Arabidopsis thaliana: one gene and its partner. The protein of the gene in region 2 purifies or fractionates together with the protein of the main gene of each other region. This does not show direct contact. Each region holds a gene or a part of one and is shown on either strand. Other genes may lie near its edges. The genes, in order: CUL4 and DWA2.

Region 1 (7,804 bases), on a different chromosome or scaffold from region 2:
ACATTCATCATATATGTAGGCAAACAATCCTTCTTCCTAGCTACCTCTCATGTCTCATCAACTTTAGCTAAAGACAAATAAATTTTATAAATATTTTAATTTTGACTAGCAAAAATATTCGTAAACAACATTTTCATTCAATTTTTTTTTCATCAAATAATTATTTTTTTCTGAAATCCAATTTTCTTTACATAGTTCGTTTACTTTCCTACTACAGTATGAAACCCGAACTAAAAAGCTGTGGAGTCACTAGATTGAAGCAGTTGGACGATGAGTCAATATATTTCCATTTTTCTTAAATGTACGTGTAGATACATTTAACTATTTCACAAACCGTAGTATGAATTTTATTCAATTGTCTTTCAGTTGCGTACAATATTGATCAGCCATAGTTAAATGTCGTTAGGGACGTTCATCAAGTAAGCAATTTGATTCTCTCTGTTCTTTCTTTAGTTATTTGGTAGTGGTAAAAACAGAAATGCCTATAATGTAGTGTAAAAAAAAATCCGATTAAACTTAAGATTTAATTGCCTAAAAACGAAGAAAAAGCTCTAAGAACTATCTCCATTCAAATAAAACTCAAAAACGAAAACAAAATGGAATCAGCACATAGAAAACCCTCGAAGATATATAACCTATCTTAGGAACTTTATTGGAAGTTTGAATTTTTTTAAAACAAATCAGTTATTTTTGTAGGGAAACAAAAACATCTTTTAAGTTGTATAAAAATCTGAAAACAAAGAAGTCCCAAGAAAGTATGTTCAAAAAAAAAAAAAAAGTGAGAACCGAGGAAAAGTGAATCAAAGTAAGAAATAGAACTTAAGGCTGTACATAAGAACGGGCGGAACAGCGAGAATAGAGATGATTGGAATATCGAGAGTTCTTTTTTTTTTTCAAACTGATAAGAAAATTTCGGTCATCGTTTGTTTGTCAATAAATATACAAAAAGGAAAATATTCAAAAGGTGTGTTTACCAAAGAGATTCTAAGCAAGATAATTGTATATCTGAGGGTTGCTTTTTTCCCTCTCCAAATATTCTCGATCGATCAAGCTCTCAATCCTCTTCTTCAGATCAGCAGGCTTTATCGGGAATTTGAGCTGCAAATCACAAACATATATCCATTCATAGCAATGGTATATTAAATTTAGTAGACTACTGAGAACTCTAATCATCATCACGAGTATATTACCAATAGGACTGGACCTAGTAACGAATTTCATGCTTTCTTTTTTCATAAACCGACATGTTATTTCGGATTTTAAAATCATCAAGCAGGAGTGAAATTTACCTGTTGGAAGAGCTCAGTGATTAGAAGAGTATGGCTCAAGACTTTTCTTGTCTTCATAATACGAACAATGGCTGCATCGATCTGTAAGAGAAGGGTGTGATGGGGAAAACCATTTTGTCAAAATCTTTTCTTGTTTAAGAAGCCAAAGTTGTAAGAACGATTTCAGAAATTAGTATCGTAAAGGAAAATGGAGAGCAGAAACCAACCTGGTATTGTCGGTCCTGGAATACTCTTTCCGTTGTACTTGTGTTCTCCTCTACTGTCTCTTTCATCTGGATCGCATTTACCTGCACCCAGGAACAAAAGAAAGAATTGCTTCACTATAAGCTACATACAAAACAGTATCACAAGATTCTAGGATACTTTAAGTGAAGAGACCAAGAAAAAAACCAACGTACCTTAATGCGATACAGCGGAGCTGCAAACTCATCATTAAATTCAAATTCATCACCGTCTTCTACATCTCTTCCCTTAGGATTCTGCAAAAATATTTACACAATAAGGCTTATCCTTATGGAAAAAGGCAAAGCCATAATCTCGGCAGTTTCTGCATTAGCTGAAAAGAGAGTTAACAGAGTCCAGATTTTGGCCAAACCTTCTGCAGGACACGGACTTTCCCACAAGCAAGCGACTGCAAAGTCCTCCTCAGCTCCTTGTCCTCTATGCTGGTGGAATCTTTAATGTCTTCAAAGCTAAGTTTCATTGCATCGTTAAATAACATTAACACAACAGCCTGAGACAAAAAGAAAAGAGCAATTGATTAACACTGTAACCTCGGGAAGACAGGAAAGAGCTTAAAAGGGGGGGGGGGGGAAAAAAAATTTGACTGACCTGAAACAGGGAAACAGCCAGCTCCTTTTTACCTTTGGAGAAATCTGCCTTTAAAACACAGTGGCCTAATGAATTTTGCCACATTAACCTCCTACCACTGTACTTGCTTAAATAGAACTCTTTGAAGATATCCTACGAAACATACAGATAGCTTAGAAAAAGCTTGTAAGAAAACGTCCAACGAGGAAACAAAAAAAAATACATAAGAAGAACTTTTAGTAAAACCTGATAGACATTTAGTTCATGAGGAAGCTTAACATCCATAGGCGGATATGTTGGCCAGTACCTGTATTATAGACGGGAAGTTAACAAGCTTTATATATGTCATGATATCCGCATTCCAGCAGTTATATCCTGGATAAAATTGATACATTGTACATACCCTGTTGTTAAAACGTGGACACTCATCTCAATTCCCGATGGCAGTTTTGTTCTGGCCTGGGAAGATTGTTTGAATGACTCGTTGATTTCCTTTGACAATTCAATATCCTGGAGAAAATTTCAATAAAACGGAGAGTTCAAGCTCATTAGGATTATTGTAAATGTACACAAGTTCATTAAAATAAGTATGGAGCAGGATCATCCGCCAATCCTGTCTTAGATTGGATTAACAATGAATATGTATACCGGGGTATATCGTAAAACGTAACAAAATATAAGATCATTAAGTTTGTTCCTTAGTAAAACTTAAACGACCAACATCTTTTTTGAATATAGAGAAGGAGAAGAAAGGATACCTTGAACATCCCTTCGAGCTTGTTTGTAAACTGGCTACCACACTCAGTCTTAAGCTGTAGGTAAAACCAAGGTTGGGATCAGTGGGTGAGAACTACAGATATAGAAAACAAATTGTGGGAAAGGGAAACACCCAGAATATAAATCAGTTTTTAACCTTAGAGATCATGGATTTCTCAGCATCGATTGAAGCACTCTTTCCCAACAGGAGTCTCTTCGCAAGATCCTTTTTGTAAAATGCTTCGAACACATCTTTACCCTTTGATAAATAATAAAAATCCATCAGCAAAACCGATATCCAGAAGATCAAATAGCTGGTTTACAGACCATGCACTGGCCTCGAAGCAGTGATTTACAGTGACAAACACAGTACTAAATGTAAGAAATTAGAGATAACCTGGATAAATCTGAACAAAACCAAGACTTTTTCAAGAACACTCTCCAATTCTTCTTCAGAAGTACCCTTATTCCCAGCACGGAGTTTCTCGTCCAAAAACTTGGCAATAAGCTCAGCTGGCCGGTTCTGTAAAAAAGATTATCAGCATAAGATGTATATTATTTGGGATGCTTGCTAAATCAGAGTATTTGGTATCCAAAGTGATATATATTAGCAAACAACACTACTGTGATCAGGTCCAGTGCCCACAAGAAGCTTGATCTCAAAATTATGTTTGAAAATAGTATTCACTGCCCAAAGATGTCTCCAAATCATAGCAATACAGTGCTTAATCAGTAACGAAATCTATAGATTATTATAAAATATAAATTTCTCGATTTCACAATTGTAATTTAAGGTTGACATTTCCACAATAATCAGTATGTTGCTTTTACATGAAAGTAAAATTATTAGCAAGAGACTCAGGCAATAATCAAGAAAATCACTATTTGATACCTGTCGAAGATTAATCAGATGCTCAAACGAATCTTTGATTGTGTTACCAAATGATTCGTTCTTGTAAAAGCTCTCTTCCCATATTATGTCAAGAGAAGCCTTGAAGTCCAACAGTGATTGTACCATATCTTTGTCTTTCTCTTCATCCATAACAATCTTCTGCCCAGTTTTCCGAACATATGAACTTAGCGCCTGCCTCAGAGACTCAAGTGCATTGACCCTAGAAAACAAGGTTTGCATCCTCTGAAGGTCCTCCGTACGACGTCCATCCATTAATGTTGTAAAACCCTGAAGATGTTCAGAAATAAAGTAAGACTACGACAAACTAAAATTGGATAATATGCAAGCCAACACAAGAATAATAGGAGATTGGAACCTTTTCAAGAACAACAAGTATATGACGTTCGAGAAGTTGCCTTTCAACAGTTGTGATCAATGGTTTCCTGGTTACTGCATCTATGTAGAGTATGCATCTCTCATTCTCTTCATGCAACCTTCCCTGCACCAATCACCAGTAGAAACCTTAGAAAGACTATTAACCTGTAGTGCAGCTAATCATAAGGAAACTATATGAAGTCATGCAAGGCACCTCAACATGCTTCAGGTACTCCGGAACGTCAGACTGCTGCATGTATTTCATTCCTTCAGCGGCATAAAATTCAGAGGTCCCTTCAAGGAAAGGTTTCTCAAAGCTTTCCATATAAATTCCCAGTGCAGTAAACATCTTCAAAAGATGGCTTAGTAGAGTCCTATTAACAGCTTCTGCTAACCTGCAGGACCAATATCATGCAAGAAAGTTCAGCAGATTCAGATGAAAACATTATCCAATATATAAATGACATACACTAGTCCTGATTTGCCTTGAAATTTTACCTATAACAAGTTATCACTGCTAGACAGGAATAGTTCATAGACCATCCAAACTTACCATATTCACTCAAAAGCCAGAAAAATAAGTTGAGGTAAAGTGGCTTTATGAAATTATATTCTCAATGTGATAAATCAACCCTCGTTTAATTTTGGAAGACCAGAAGGTTAAAAATTTACCTTTCTTTTTCAATCATACTTAAGAGACCTTTAACCGTCCTCTGCTCAACTTCAGGGGCCAGAGAAAGATGCTTCCGGAAAAGCTGCAAACCCATCTCCCATAATGAACGTACATTTGGATTCTGTATCACATACTTCCTATCCAGAGTCAAGGCTATACTACGAATCATGAGCATCTGGTCACAAAAGTCTTGCCAGCATTTCTCAACACGTGACAAGAAAACAGTCAGATCAGTGTTCTGCCCAACTAAAGATTGCAAAGCTGCAGAGATGTGTTCTTCACACTCCTTCTCAATCTGGTCATAAAGCTTTCCATCCAACTTATGCAAGCAAAGGTTATCAACAGCCTGAAAAAACAATCACAATCTCATCAGCACGACATTTACACATACGAATAAGAAAGGAAGTAAGTAAATTTGCACGTAACCTAACCTGGTAAAGGCTCTCGAGGTCAAACGAAATTTTTTTTTTGAGGAATATAGCTCTGATAGCTGACTGCAACTTCTCCCATGTATTCTCCTCAAAGTTTGTTGGTAGAGTTGGTTTGGCTTCACATATATAATACAAATGGTACAATCAGAACCCTAATTATGAAAACACTTTTATCTTCAATTTGCTAGCCAGTCACAGTAAAGATGATTCTCAAGATGTTTTCTAATGGCACAAATTAGGTTTGGTGAGAGCTAAGCCAACTAGATTGTGCACAACAAAGATTCCGGATCTTAAGTACCTAGATCAGGCTAGACAAAGAGATTCCAACTTAGAAGAAATACAAAAACCCAAATCACTCATTCACATCAAAATTCAACAGTCACACTCAATTTTCCACTGTAATTTAACATCAAAACTCACACAAAACTTCCATCAATCGCAAGCCAATGAAAACCCTAAAAATCACGAACCTTAACAATTGTATCATTTCAAATCAATCCAGAGCATCAATTGCACAGTAGAGTAAAAGACCCAAATCAAATCCTAAGATTACGATCAAAATCGTAAAGATGAAAGAAATCGAAATCGAGCGAAACCTTTATTGAGCTTGATTACAAACTTCTTAGTAGGTTGCGGAAGTGTAGCTTTCTTCCGAGAGAGATTAGCGGCGGCGGGAGTTGGATCTTCCTCCATATGAAAGCCAACAACCTTGTCGGCGGTATTAGGGTGTTGAGGGGAATGGTGGAGGTCGTTTTTGGCCTTTTTCATCGGAGGAGAAGAGTAAGAAGAGTCGTCGGAGGCAGAAGCGGCGGAGAAAGTAGAGCGTTTGGTAGGAAGAGACATGAAAATGGGTGAAAATTGTGTGAGAGAATCACGAAGAGGAAGAAGAAGACATCAATCCTAAATAATAACAACCCTTTCTCTCTACCAAAAGCGCACTGTGCACTCTCTCTCTTTTTTTTTTTGCTCAAACCTACGCGAAAACTCGCGATTTAGACCCGACCCGAGAAATGAAGATTTTTTGTTTATTTATATACTCTGAATAAAATCAGAATTATTTTATTTATACATTCATAAATCATAATTACTATATGATAAAAAAAATATTATTGATAAAAATAGACATATACCGCAATGATTAGATGTGCGTTGTTTTAATGGTTACTAATCACAAAAGTGAAAAACAAAAAAATAAAAAATAATAATCAATTGTTGCCTGTTTTGTATGGTTATTTTTTATAACTACTTTTAAATTTTAACTACTTTTTATTTTTAGTTTTTGACAACTGATAAATCATATCTATTGTATATTTTTAGAGTCGAATTTTTATTAAGTCATTTTACGATTTAAAGAATAAAGAATCGATCACACGAGTCGATGCTTGATATTTAGATCATTTTTGATATATATTTTTATTTTTATTTTAAAGAAAATTGAGTTGATTTTTTTTCCATATATTTCTTTTATTTTTTAAAAAAAACTATTTTAAAAGAATATATTAGAATAAAATGCCTATAAAATAGACTCACCTATAACGTGGAGAATGGAGATAAAAATAGAGATGATTAAATACTTTTAGCAGTCGGTAATTTCAGGCAGAAAATTGTGTGATGTTAAAAGACATGAACGAAGAATCATCACTTGACAATATGAATAAATATAATATGATCGATGTCATGGATTAGCCAATGTGGGGCGTGTTGACTTGCTGCTCCACAGGGTTTTTGGACTTCCGGTTTAGGGTTTGGTTCTGATTACAAAATATGGGCTTATCAAATTATTTACAGGAGTTAATACTTTGGGCCTGATTACAAAGGTTTAACCGAAGCCTATCAAGCAGATAAGAGACGAGATGAGATTGTTAGAGCATCTCCATCGGCAAAAGTGGTAGAGAGTATCTCAAAAAGTAAATAAATTAATATTTTAATCAAATTAATATATTTTAATTAGTTTGAAGTAAATGAACTATTAATTGAATGACAACTCTCAATAAATGCTGAGAATAGTCTCTCTTGCCAGTTTCTCCACTTTTCTCTTCTTCTCTCATACTTTTTCTCTTTTTAATTATTATTTAATTGATGAGTATCTCAATCAGATATTCCGATGGAGATGGTCTTACAAGTGTTACCGAGACGTACCAATTGGCGAACTCATATAACTTGTGCTGTTGTGCGAATGTGTTTTGATTAGTGAGGGTTCTTGGGCCAAAAAACATGGCTGGTTTTTAAGTCGCAATTGCAAGGATGAATATTATTACAGCCACAGCCTCAACGACTGCATGGTCTTAAAACTTTTTATTACATGTTGATTAGCCTATGGAATTGTATAATTACTAATACAAAATGGTGTTCATTACATTCTCACCTCGCTTAAACTTACTAATAATTTTTTTTTATTTCTTTAATCCCTCATTAACATGTCAACACATTTATTTTTTCTTTATTCATGTTTCAAGACTATAGAATTTCTCAATTAATCCCAATTGATACTAATAATAGCAAATTGTAAGTCTCTTGGATCGTTGGATCAATATTTTCACATGCAAACATGTGAAAATGAGGAGTTATTGAAAAATTG
Region 2 (5,733 bases):
CATCCACGTGCATATGCGAAGATACAGAGGCTAAGGCAAAGGCGCAATTAGAATCTAGAAAACTTGGAAAGAAAAACAAATCCACTAATAAAGACGCAGCAGTAACTGTAACCAATGATGATCAAACCGAAGAGGATGACCCAGATTGGTCGGAGCCAGACTATGAGGAAGAACAGAGTGATCTTCAGGACAGAGGATTATACAACGGGACAAGTTTAGATTACGATGATCCATCTACCTCTGATGAGCCTGAGCTTGAAGCAATGCTATCAGATTAGTTAGATACGCATCAGTGACCTTCACATCACTACACTGAATCTGTCCTCTGCTTGGGCACTTCACAGTGAGTTTTCCAACCTTGGTGCTAAGCCTTGTTGTCACCATTTTGCATGTAATGTCTCCTGTACATAGAACCACGCGATAGAGCATTGTTTTGTTTATCAGGATCTGAGGACAGATCAATTTTTTTCAGTCATATTTTAGTACTCGGAATTGTGGCTTTACCAGAGAAAGTAGCTATAGAAAAAGGGAAAACAAGTAGGCATGTGTAGCATTATGACACCGGTGATTACTTGATCCGAATATTTTCTTTACAATAAACTGAATTATAGCAGCAGGTTCATTGACTTTGTACCAAAGTATTTTCACGAGGTTTGGTTTTACATCTTTGTGCCTTGTGCTGAGAGATAGAGATGAACAAAGACACGAGTAAAAGTTGAAGAACTGTAGAAGAATAGTTTTGATGTTGTGATTATTATAAAAACATTCAAAATTTGTCTTAAATGATAGCATATGAATGCAGCTTTTTCTTTGAAGCCTTCTTCCATCGGGACCTATCTTCTTGGCAGGAAAGGCTTGACGGATTCGATCACAACCTAACATAAGCAAACACCAAAATTATGAGATGAACTCTCCAAACTGCTTTCAGAATTTAGAATTGTTTGGGGTAATAAATCGTCTATTTCTTAGTTCTCCATAGTTCTTTAGGTTGTTGTCAAAAGCAAAGTCACTTACCCTACCGTCATATGACAATGATGCAAAAATCCAAGGCTCACGCGAGCTCCAAGCAAGGCCTGTGACAGCAATTATATAGTGACTTCATGCAGTTTTAGTGGGAAATTGTGGTAACTAAACTCAGTTTGTTCCAAGAGTTACCGTAGACACTGTCTTCGTAGTCAGTATAAGAGTTTAGTAACGGGTTCACACGCTGACGTGATGCTTCCACCGGGCTGCACAGCATCGGCATTAGAATAAAAGTTCAAAACAAAGTTGGAAAAATTGTTGTGTGCGATAATAAAGAGAATTAACCTTTCTGATGTTTTATGCTCACTAGATGCTGAAGCAAACCACAAGTTGACAGCTGAGTCTGTTCCAACGCTCTGTGTTTGGTTAATTTATCAGAAACTGACACTTTAAATATACATTGTGAGTGACAGAAATTGTTCTAGAATCATCGACTAGCAGCTTAAAGCTGTCAGTAGTGACAAGCACAATAACAATTTAGATTCGTTCGACTGTGCTAAGAGAAAAAAGGTAAGAGAAAATGGGTACCAGAATTAGCTCTTCATACTCAGGGTTACACCTGACAGCCCATGTCCTGTAAAGAAAATTCAGAAAGAACAGTCACGCTAGAAACAAAATTTCAGGTCGAAAGCATTAGATTTGTGTGCATATGAAGCAGAATCATGGAAGAGAAAAAATAATAATCCACAAAAATGAGTTTAGAGGTAAATTACCAGTGTGTATGACCAGGGAGCTCTTGCACAGGAAACTTTGTCTTCCGAAGATCCCAGAGATGTATACCAGATTCATCATCCGCAGAAACCTACACAATCGACAGTCCAATGCATAAATAGAACCATCTGATACCATTTCTGTAAATAGGGGACCTACTACCTTTCAGATAAAAAGTTCTTGCTATGAAGAAAAAATTAAATCAGAAATGACACAATTACTTCCTTGTTCCTACCCATTTGCAATCTATATAACAGATTGTTTTCTAACTTTGGAGCACTGTGTAATTCTTTGTTGGAATTGCTTGACAAGCATTTAAAATATTTGCATACAGAGAGAGAAATCTTACGAGTATATGTTCTCTCTTGAGATTGTAGTCAACATTACGTACATGGGCACGTTCAATTGAATTATTCTTCCTGTAAATATGCAAACATATCAAGCTCAACATAAAGGTATCTGATTTTGGAACCCAAAAATTAATAATGACAAACTATTGACTAGAGGAAACACGCTAGCTGTGCATGCAGGAATACAGTATATTAACTTTCATGCGAACATAAGAGAGGAACAAATATGACATACTTCATAGTACGTAAGTCCCAAAACTGGATAGATGATTCAGAAGTTGCTGCAACAGAATTCACATCATGTGGATTCCATGCTCCACCAGATAAAGAATGACGCATACCAGCTGACTCCTTAGATAAAACCTATAATTAGCAAAAAAGATGATTAAGCGGAAAGTACCTCAAAGGTGGTCTAAAAACACAGGAGGCAAAAATGATTTAATGGGTTTATCCTTTCTCTTGTTGTAGCAACAATCACCTCCGCACTTTTCTTTGAAGAGTCTAAACTCCAGAAGACAAGATTTTGTTCATCCATGCTGATTAACTTGTCAGAATTTCCAGAGGGACACCAAAGAACGCTGTTTCCACAAGAGGTATAGAGAGTCTTCATGAAAGTGAAGATAAGAAAGTTACAAGTTCTAAGACTTTTTAAACCACCGCACTTATAAGCACACCCAGTAGATAGACTGCTGAAACTGTAAACAATGAACTCACCAATTAATCTTACCAACATGTGCATCAAGGGAAGCAACACATTCCAATGTTGAAGAATTCGATTGACCATATGGCTCAGGAATCTGCCATATTGCTGCTCCATATGAGTCGCCTTGAAATTGAAAACAACAACACTGTAATTCTCCTCTGACAACACTGTAGTTTCAATTTCTGAAACTTTATGCATTCAATCGGAAAAGTCCGATTTTTTTTACTTCAAATCAACTCAAAATTAGAAGTTTCGAGATGATGAGAATTACCAGTGGAGAAGACAGTAGAGAAAATGCGTTGATCAAAAGGGGAAGAAGCAAGGTCCCAAATTTCATTAGGATGCGAGAACAATCCCTCACATAACAGCTCAGATCCACCAGAAGACAAACGAAGCAAATGAACCTTAAAATTTAACAAAGTCAGAATCTTCCGATCCAGAAATAGAACGAAACAGATCTTAAGAATCAATCACCTCATTTTCTTCTTTCAAGCTTAGGGTTCCAGTGAGGAAGCTAGTGTGATCTCTATCTGCTTTAACATCCGATATACATCTGGCCTGAAAACAGCAAATTTTCCACCATTAAGAAAGCTCGTAAATTGACAAAGGATCGGGCATGAAGAAGATCGTGAACTACCTGATACTTCAAACCATAACCAATACCCGATGATCCTCCTTGCATTATGCTCTTACGCCTGAGCTAACGTTACGGATTCAGGAAGAAGAAGATCTCTCTTCAACGATTTGCCGCTCTCTGATTTTGCTGGGTTTCGTGAAGATGATACTAATGGGCCAATATTCATTTAAATAAGCCCACTTTTACAAACTGAATCATAAACTGTTTTATTTTTGCTTCTATGGTTGACATTTGACAGTTGACACTCATGGCCCAACAATAGTTTTGCAAATTTTAGATGCAAATTAAATAAATAATTTAAATAAACATGTAAATAAATGAAAATTGAATAGATTCATATATAATAAACAGGTAAATAAAAGATCTATCACTATTGTAGTACTCCATATGTCCCATTTTATTAGATGTTTTGGCTAAAATCACATGTTTTATCATTAATAAAAATTTAACCAATAAAAAATACTGCATAATTTAAATAATCATAAACTATGGAATTAATATAAATTATGACTAGAAACTAGAGAAAAACTAATTGGGAACAACAACAAAAAAGCTTTAAAAATCTTATATACTAGGGAAAGTATTATCTTGTTACCAAAAACAGTAAAAAGTCATGGGAAAGCAAAGAAAGAAATATTATATATTAATTTCTAAGGTAATAAAAATATATGTTTAGAGCACTAATAACAAATTTGGAACCTCATTTCTTCTTTACAATTGAAGAGCAAATTCTATATATAATTATATATTGATATATGTGAACATTCTAATTAATACAATGCTCTCAAATGAATATACTACATAAAGTCATATCTTGGATAACAAAAAATACTTTTCTTTTCCTTTTGTTGAATACAAAAAGTAAAACTTTTCTTGCAACCCAAACTATCCATTTCTTTACTAGTCCACGTACGCCTTTCAAGATATCAATCTCTTCAATATACTTGTCAACATCCCCTAATACACAATGAGTGGGGGTCTAACAGTTACAATAAACGTGAAGACTGTAACGAGCATATTTAGTGAAGAGTTTATTCGAATTGATTACTGTAACGATCGAGCACTAAAACTATTCACCAAAGTATTTCAAACATTCATAAATTATTTACTAAGCAAACAAAGAAACGTGAAAAAAACAAAAGTAACATTGATCATTTCCTTTTTGAAAACGTAATCAAATACGTATATTTTAATTAATTATGCATCGGTTTTATACAGAGCTACATAGATATTTCATATCTCTCTCTAGAAGAAAAGAGAAAACGAAAACCAAACCCACGCGTAATGTTGATTTCACCTTCCACTCCAACAAACCAGCGCCTCTCCGAATCACTTCAAAAGTTTTGAAGAAAATCAAAACTCTATAAATACAAAAATCTCTCTCTCGGCAAATGAAACGTGTGTGAACAATCCACGGTGGTGGTTATTCTCACAGATTAGGGTTACGATCACTTACGCCGCCGTTATGTACGTTTCCAGGAGAATCTCCGACGTCGATCGTCGTCTTCTCCTCCTTCTCATAATCCCATCTCTCACCCTCCTCGTCTTAATCTCTTTCTCATCTCTCTCACTTGATCCTTTTCCAACTCTAGCCCCTCTTCGTAACCTAATCTACACTCATACCCTAACCGTCACCGATTTCACCGTCGAATTGTCAGATTCGAACCCTAACGACGTTATCCAAGCGGAGGAGATGGAAAATCGACGGCGGAGGAAGAGGGAGGAGTTGGTTAAGTCGAAGATTGCGGTGTGTTTGGTAGGAGGAGCGAGGCGGTTTGAGTTAACCGGACCGTCGATTATGGAGAAGATCTTGAGGGTTTATCCTAATGCTGATTTGTTTCTTAATAGTCCTCTCGACAAAAATTCTTTCAAACTTCGGTTACTTAAGGACGCACCAAGACTTGCTTGGGTTCGTATCTTTGAGCCTAAGCCAATCAATGAGACTGAGCCGATGGTTCGAGTCCTCACACCTATGAATTCGCCCAATGGCATTAAGGTAATTTATCGACTCTTTTGAACTTCCTTACCTTATAAATTCTTTTCACTAACTTTCAATTAATTAAATGTTGGAGTATTACATTAAATTTTTAAGTGCATAAAATTCGGGAATATATAATTAAGGATAAGAAAGTGATCAGGAGCGGGGACCTCCGTTTAGTTGGAGAGGTTTAGGGTTGGTGTAACCGTTTCTTGATCCGTACGTTACTCATGTGAAGGGATTTTTTGTTTGATGATGGGTTTGGTATTTGATGTTGTCACAATCCCATCCAATATGATATTCTTTTTTATTTCCTCGTTACTTTATAACA

Evidence for each region.
Region 1: the proteins of DWA2 (region 2) and CUL4 purify together in Arabidopsis thaliana (affinity purification with western blotting, with the first as the bait; one study listed by BioGRID). This does not show direct contact.

The regions. Positions count from the first base shown.
Region 1 is NC_003076.8:18,730,585-18,738,388, forward strand, and holds CUL4 (cullin4), read right to left. Parts: upstream 6,232-7,804; 5' UTR 6,070-6,231; coding exon 5,823-6,069; intron 5,343-5,822; coding exon 5,227-5,342; intron 5,142-5,226; coding exon 4,795-5,141; intron 4,518-4,794; coding exon 4,337-4,517; intron 4,247-4,336; coding exon 4,124-4,246; intron 4,036-4,123; coding exon 3,748-4,035; intron 3,379-3,747; coding exon 3,253-3,378; intron 3,115-3,252; coding exon 3,013-3,114; intron 2,912-3,012; coding exon 2,858-2,911; intron 2,610-2,857; coding exon 2,503-2,609; intron 2,407-2,502; coding exon 2,346-2,406; intron 2,253-2,345; coding exon 2,121-2,252; intron 2,023-2,120; coding exon 1,885-2,022; intron 1,769-1,884; coding exon 1,688-1,768; intron 1,577-1,687; coding exon 1,496-1,576; intron 1,371-1,495; coding exon 1,290-1,370; intron 1,099-1,289; coding exon 985-1,098; 3' UTR 787-984; downstream 1-786. UniProt on the Arabidopsis thaliana protein: Component of the CUL4-RBX1-CDD (COP10-DDB1a-DET1) E3 ubiquitin-protein ligase complex which mediates the ubiquitination and subsequent proteasomal degradation of target proteins. Participates in the CDD complex to light-mediated control of development.
Region 2 is NC_003070.9:28,608,099-28,613,831, reverse strand, and holds DWA2 (DWD (DDB1-binding WD40 protein) hypersensitive to ABA 2), read right to left. Parts: upstream 3,640-5,733; 5' UTR 3,470-3,639; coding exon 3,425-3,469; intron 3,346-3,424; coding exon 3,262-3,345; intron 3,192-3,261; coding exon 3,059-3,191; intron 2,911-3,058; coding exon 2,799-2,910; intron 2,663-2,798; coding exon 2,563-2,662; intron 2,448-2,562; coding exon 2,320-2,447; intron 2,154-2,319; coding exon 2,084-2,153; intron 1,826-2,083; coding exon 1,737-1,825; intron 1,598-1,736; coding exon 1,552-1,597; intron 1,380-1,551; coding exon 1,309-1,379; intron 1,230-1,308; coding exon 1,156-1,229; intron 1,074-1,155; coding exon 1,015-1,073; intron 876-1,014; coding exon 834-875; 3' UTR 569-833; downstream 1-568. Other genes in the region: AT1G76270 (O-fucosyltransferase family protein), read left to right, coding at 1-278; AT1G76250 (uncharacterized protein), read left to right, coding at 4,890-5,420. UniProt on the Arabidopsis thaliana protein: Component of the CUL4-RBX1-DDB1-DWA1/DWA2 E3 ubiquitin-protein ligase complex that acts as a negative regulator in abscisic acid (ABA) signaling. May function as the substrate recognition module within this complex leading to ABI5 degradation.